Bombyx mori: one gene and its partner. Each later gene encodes a partner of the first gene's protein in a complex. Links are inferred from orthologs where the notes say so. Each region holds a gene or a part of one and is shown on either strand. Other genes may lie near its edges.

Region 1 (2,839 bases):
AGATAATAACCTAAAAAGGTTATTTTTTAATTTCAATTTGTCAGTCCGAGGATGAACATAACAGGAAGTATTTAAATGCTGAGTTAATGTTCAGACCATGGTATGGTTTGATTTAGTTTAGATAGTTACATCAGTCAAGCTGATGTCACTAAAACTACTTTCAAAAACAACCAAGGCGTCCTCACTCTGTCAAAACTTATTTTAGTATTTAAACTGGACTCTCCTAGACGGTTGCATGCCTGACAAAAGATTTATTATCCCATCCTATAGTATATATTAACAATATTTATTATGTCCATGCCTTGCTCCACTGAACTAGACTCTCCATGCTTTTAGCTATCAGGAGAATGTGTATGCTGAATTGTCTGAATTTCCAGCTGTAATCAAACTAATATATAATCTTCTAATTTAGAAAACTACATTCCTAATAACGTATTTGACGTGAGTAGAAACTTTATTGAAGACCACTTACCTATCCCTCTCTGGGTACAACAGTTGTGATTAACTTGTCCACCAATCAGTATACCAGGCTGGTAATATACTGAAGTACCGGTTTCGCTCAGCTCGACTCTAGTACCGTTCGTCACTTTATCCAGTAGCCGAATTAAACTGACTTCATATTCCCGAAGACCCGGGTCATCGTTGGTACTGCGAATGTCTTCTATTTTAATAGCACGCCCACTGAGAGTCGAAAGTAGCAATCTTTGACGAAAGTAATTGCTGCCCTTGTATTTTATTACGTCATTTTCAATTACTGCGGGCATTTTAATATAACTAATACTCCGAATTAGTTTTTCGGTGATATGTAAACAGCGAACATGTGCAAACCTCTAGGCACTGCGAGTTAGTCAACTGTCAAAAGTGTCAAAGTAATAGCAATAGTTGTATTTTTTCATCTAGAAAGGCAAAAGTATCAGACCATATACTATCTTTTAAATATTGTGGTATATTTCTATAGAAAATGATGTGGATGAATGAAATGAAGTGAAGTTAGTTTATTTGACTATGATTACGCAGCTTTCCTAGACATATTATGGTATTCTGTGATGGAACCTAAAGTCAGCATTATTTCAATGGATATCAGAATTACATACATGGGTACTGGTTTCGGCTCAACACATTTAATGTTATCATTACTTAATTTTATTTCCTTCGCCTAAATTTCATTTTTCATACAACAATTAAATGCATAAGATTTAACTGGTAGGTACCTATGCGCTATGTTTTCTTTGCCTATTGGATGGACCAATCAAATCAAATAAACATTGCTGTTTTAGAGGTTAGGGCTTTGTATTTATTTGTGTGTTCATTTATAATTCTCACTAAAATAGAACAAAAATATCATGAACGTTTCAATAGATGATGTAGTTTTACCTGGAGATCACTGTCCAGAGATCGTGGCGGCTGGCGAAAAAGGAAAAGTTCTACTAGGTCCTGGACTTCGCAAAGAAATTAACGGTGTTTTTATAACAAAACCAGGCGTATTACGGAAACGAACACCAAATACATACTGGGTGGACAATTATCAGAAGCGCTATGTGCCTTCTAGAGGTGAAAATGTGATCGGTACCGTGGTACAGAAAGCGGGCGATATTTTCCGTGTGGACGTCGGGGGGAGTTGTGCCGCATCGCTGTCATATCTGTCGTTCGAAGGAGCGACGAAGAAAAACCGTCCCGCAATCAAAACAGGCGATGTTGTGTACGCGAAAATGTTAAACGCAAGCAAAGATATGGAACCAGAGCTTGTGTGCGTTGATTCGCATGGAAAAAAAGGCCGACTAGGAGTATTAGAAGAAGGATTCGTATTCAAATGCTCTTTGAATTTAATCAGAAAAATATTAAACCCACATTGTCCATTATTGAACTCATTAAAGAACGAATGGCCATTTGAATTAGCAGCTGGCATGAATGGAAGGATTTGGATCAAAGCAAACACTATGAGAGAGACATTGGCTCTAGGAAACGCGATTTTGGGCTCAGAATATTTGAGTAACGATGAAATTAAAAGTATGTGTAAGAACATAGCAGTTTTACTCGCAGGTCATGTAAGCTAAAATAAATGAAAAACCTTATTAAAGAAATTTGTTTTCTTTTTAAGAAACTTAAATCATTTAGAAAATCTTCAATTAAGAAAATTTAAAGGTTTCATGTTCTGGGTCCCAGAAAAACCATTTGAAAGGAAAACATTTATAAAGTTATAATATCATACAGAATTTTCACATGTTCAATTTCTAGTGGTGAAAGGAAGTCAGCTCTCAGATTGAACATAAATGAGAGAACCCCCTAGGGAATCCATTTACGGATACCCAGTCGAATTGAGAAAAAAATTCAATGAGAGAACCTGACTAATGTTCAATTGACATTTTGCATATATGTAGACTACAAGCAGATCCCGTAAAGGAAACAAAACTAAAACAGTGATGGAAATTTTATTTTGGCAAATGCTAATCTAATTTTGAAATCTCAATACATAATGAAAACTGCTATGGACATGTATTCAGGACATGTAGCATTCCAATACTTATGACATAAATACATTTCATATTAAATTTGAACAAAGCCACAATATATACATAATACCAAAGTCTTCGTACAGGTTTTTATTTTTTTTGCTGTTTATTTTAAAAGATTTTACACTTCAGAACTCTTTAAAAATGTAGTCACAGAATCAAACAATATTTACATTATCATCGGAACACTTTAATTATAATTTAAGACTAATTTAACTATATTTTCTTATGTAAATTCAACAAACTTGAGTTGGTCGTTCAGCAAAAATAATACCCTTATTTTTCACTATTTCTAATATATTTCCACTTTTATGTTATTTCTCAACACG
Region 2 (4,584 bases), on another chromosome or scaffold:
GAAGGTGTGCAGCATGTTGAAGAGCATCACGGGAATACACTAATATGTCATCAACGTACGCAAAGCAAAAATCGAGACCTTGGACAACTTCGTCTATAAATCTTTGAAACGTTTGGCCTGCGTTGCGCAGACCAAAAGTCATGTAATTAAATTCGTAGAGTCCGAAGAGTGTTATGATGGCGGTTTTACAGATATCCTCAGGCGCAACAGGAATTTGCTGATATGCCTTAACGAGGTCGATGGTACTAAATATACAACACCCAGATATGTTATGGCCAACGTCACCGATATGGCGAACTGGGTACCTGTCAGGTATGGTACGTGAATTCAACGCACGATAATCGCCGCAGGGTCGCCAGGTGCCGTCGCGCTTAGGGACCATATGAAGTGGAGAAGACCACGAACTTTTCGAAGGTCTGGCTGTCCCGCACTGTACCATATCATCAAAAACCTTTTTGGCCTCTTGAAGTTTTTGAGGTGCCAGACGTCTAGGACGACAAGAGACTGGGGCGCCCTCAGTGGTTAGAATATAATGAACTGTGTTATGCTTCGGCTCACGAATAAGTCCTGGTGGCTTCGTAATGGACGGAAATTCCGCAAGAAGTGCACTAAATTGGGATGACGGCGCGCAGACAACTTTGACGCTGGTCTGGTCTAAAACAGCGACGGCAGCAACGTATGACAACCCGGTAATGCTATCGACGAGTCTCTTACTGGCACAATCTGGCAACAACCGATAATGCGCCAGAAAATCGGAGCCGATGATGGCGGTGTTGACGTCAGCGATAATAAATCGCCATTGAAATGTGCGGCGTAACCCCAAATTAAGCGCCATTTCTATGTGACCAAAAGTGCGTATCTCACTACCATTGGCAGCCGCTAACGTATAGTTTGAACGTACCGGCTTATTTGCTAACCACTGGTATGGGTAACAGGAGAGGTCGGAGCCTGTGTCTATTAAAAAACGGCGCTTGGTTGCGCTTTCGGTGACAAATAATCGGCGACTCTCCTTTAAGCAGTCAGACGTCGCCATCATTGACTGCTTTTGTCGTTTTCCGAAGATGGCGGCGGCGTCCAGGTACATGGTTGAATACACTTAACAGCTTTAGTATTAAATTTCCTATGGTAAAAGCACATTTGAAGCTTACCAGGCGTTTGTGAGCGTCGTCGCTGGTTTGAGAAATCCCGGGTCCTATTTCTACCGCGCTCTGCAGTAAGCACAGCAAGCTGACGCGTGACCTCATCCAGACGCCGTGTGATATCTTCTAACGAAGGGGTTGAGACGGCAGACGTACTTGCTGAGAAAACAGCAGATGAATGAGGTGCGACCATACCAGGCGAAACTTCCAAAATTTTGTCCGCTAGCTCAGCGACTTTGTCCAGCGAGAGTTCTGATTGGGCGGCCAAAATTGCTTGGAGATGTTGTGGGAGGCGACGCATCCATAGCTGGCGAAGCAAATTTTCATCAGTGAGGGTTTTTCCTGCCAATGATCTAAGATAACGTAAAAACTGCGAAGGACGGCGGTCACCCAACTCAACATCACTGACAAGTTGCCTGACACGTTGCTCATTAAATTGGAAAAATCTTAGTAAATAACCACCATTTTACTGAGATTATATTTCATCCCATATCATCTCATTTCATTTAATTTCATCTCAGTTGATTAATGTCTCAAATTAATCATCTTCGTTTCATTTCATTTCATCTCACTCCATATTATCATTTTGCATAAAAATAATAATATAAATTAAAATAAGAAATGACTTAAAGGTCTTAGTTACCAGGTCACACTACCCTGAAAAAAAACACGATAACATAACCTACAAAATAAAGTTTAAAAAATAATTGAACGAAAATAATATATTTATTAGTCTTTATTCTTTAATAACCATAACGTCCATAACCAATCTCATGAATTATTAGAATCACCGCGAATTTTAAAAACGGAATCGACTATGATAATATAACATAGTAAAAAGCAAATATTTTTAACAAAACAATTCAACATATTGAACAATTCATTATTTTTTAATGTGTTTTTGTTAGAAGTTAAATAATGCCCGCTGCCGATCTACTCTCGAGTCAAGGACTACGTCTTGACGGGCGGAGACCCAATGAATTACGTCGGATAAGATGTAAACTTGGTGTATTCACCCAGCCTGATGGAAGTGCGTATCTCGAACAAGGAAACACGAAAGTGCTTGCAGCCGTGTATGGACCCCATCAGGTATATGATACAAACGATTTACAAATACTGATTAGTTTACCGTGGCAAAACGTCTGTAAATCTGCCTGAGTAAATAATCATCACTATCCCGCTACTTCTGCTACAAAATTGCACTATTTCTGCTACAAAAGTGTAATGCCTTCTGGCTTGAAGAATAAGACAGCTATTTTACAATATTGAAGTATCGACCCATGTGCCAAGGTCGCATTCACGTCTTGATGTGTTTCAGCTTTAGTAACCAAATTCTTACCAAGTAGCTGGTAAAAAATATGTATTTACACATTTTAGGTACTTCATTTTCGGACACGTTCTTCATAAATGAAAAACCTTCATTATAATTTAAAATGTTTTTCAGGCTTCAAAATCGAAGATGTCGACAGAAGCTGTAGTTGTCAACTGCCAATACAGTATGGCTACATTCTCAACAGGTACCCATTGAGAGTTCAACATATTTTCAAAAGCCTCTTCAAATAAATGAGATTATATATAGAGAAAAAAATCTGTATGAGCTTAATCGCACATTAAAAATACACAAGTTAATAACATCCGTGGATTTCCAATCAATCTTAGAATTAATTTCAGTGTGTACATTTATTTGTTCCTGCACATCATCAGACCTACTGAACCAGATACGTTTACTACGTACGTGTAGTTTTTTTTATGGTGGACAAAAATTTGTTTGTAACAGAATAAAGGTTTTGTTTTATTTTAATCAAAAGATGCAAAAAGTTTTCATCATTTAAAGTTTTATGGAATTTACTTAGTGCCATTATATGTTAGAAAATATACAGCAAATAATAACATGAAAATGAAAGAAACTCTACTATGGGAAATTAAATAGGATGCATTTTATCCTAGTGTTAAGCACAGTCAGCGGCAGGCAATAGCTCTGCCCCTGACATTGCTGAAGTCAATGGGCGACATTACTGTGTGGTTACCCACTCACCATCAAGTAGGCCGTATGCTCGTCTGCCTACAAGAGAATAAAAAAAATTCTCCACTCACATAATATAATATGTAATTTAGGTAAGCATATAGCTGGCAGATAGGCAGTTATATTATAAATGTTATACATTTGAAAACAATACAATTATGTATGTGATAAGCCTGCAGAAGTAGGTACTGTTATATGTTTACAATGAAGCAATCATGCTTTGCAGTTTCATAATACATTTGAGATTTTGACTGTCTCTCAAAATCGGTGGCATTATACACACTGCGATGTCTATGTATTCTACCCATTTAAAAGTTAAAACTAGGATATTCCCTCGTCAGTACAAAAAGAAACTAAGATAGACCCAAAGATATGAATATTCTTATCTACACAACTTATAAGGGTTATTATATATATATGCCTATTAGGCTACATAACTTATTATTTTTTTTTTTTTTATTGCTTAGATGTGTGGACGAGCTCACAGCCCACCTGATGTTAAGTGGTTACTGGAGCCCATAGACATCTACAACGTAAATGCGCCACACACCTTGAGATACAGTTTTAAGGTCTCAGTATAGTCACAACGGCTGCACCACCCTTCAAACCGAAACGCATTACTGCTTCACGGCAGAAATAGGCGGGGCGGTGGTACCTACCCGTGCGGACTCACAAGAGGTCCTACCACCAGTAATTACGCAAATTATAATTTTGCGGGTTTTTTTTATTACACGATGTTATTCCTTCACCGTGGAAGTCAATCGTGAACATTTGTTGATTACGTATTTCATTAGAAAAATTGGTACCCGCCTGCGGGATTCGAACACCGGTGCATCGCTTCAACACGAATGCACCGGACGTCTTATCCGTTAGGCCACGACGACTTCTAAACGACTTATTATCGAACATTTCGCATCTAGGTGAACGAAAGAACCGACCTCGCGGGGACCGCAAGTCACAAGAAATGTCAATGCATCTCCGACAAGCTCTAACTGCTGCTATTAAAACTGAAATGTATCCAAGGTCGCAAATAGATATATACATAGAAGTATTACAGGTAAAACATATAATTTTTTTTTTTTAAATCCTTATCGACGGATTATATGCTATTTGGGTTATACGACATTTCGTTTACTATGCGATATTTATCTTTCTAATTAAAGGTCGGTTTTATTTAGTATTAGTATCACCAATCCAATGTTTTTAATTGAACTTCAGTTAAGTTTACCGCATTCAAATAGCTGAAGAAGTTTTTGTTGTTGCGATATTTTTTTCAAATTTTAAACTTTAAATGGCTCTCCTGTAAAGTAACAAAAATGTCGCTTAAACGAAATGGCCTTTCACCCATCCTTATGATAGCTGAGTCAAGAGCAGGTGACCTCACAGCTTGCTTGAAGTTCAGCGGTCACAAGTGTTCAAACA

The links.
Region 2: Rrp40 (region 1) and exosome complex component RRP41 share a complex: the UniProt entries of both Homo sapiens proteins name them as parts of the RNA exosome core complex. The link is inferred for Bombyx mori from reciprocal best matches to the Homo sapiens genes EXOSC3 and EXOSC4.

What each region holds. Positions count from the first base shown.
Region 1 is NC_085114.1:14,716,209-14,719,047, forward strand, and holds Rrp40 (exosome complex exonuclease Rrp40), read left to right. Parts: upstream 1-1,264; 5' UTR 1,265-1,343; coding exon 1,344-2,054; 3' UTR 2,055-2,077; downstream 2,078-2,839. Other genes in the region: probable RNA 3'-terminal phosphate cyclase-like protein, read right to left, coding at 1-10, 473-764. UniProt on the Homo sapiens protein: Non-catalytic component of the RNA exosome complex which has 3'->5' exoribonuclease activity and participates in a multitude of cellular RNA processing and degradation events.
Region 2 is NC_085134.1:3,235,456-3,240,039, reverse strand, and holds the start of exosome complex component RRP41, read left to right. Parts: upstream 1-1,637; 5' UTR 1,638-2,057; coding exon 2,058-2,228; intron 2,229-2,583; coding exon 2,584-2,656; intron 2,657-4,082; coding exon 4,083-4,219; intron 4,220-4,584. UniProt on the Homo sapiens protein: Non-catalytic component of the RNA exosome complex which has 3'->5' exoribonuclease activity and participates in a multitude of cellular RNA processing and degradation events.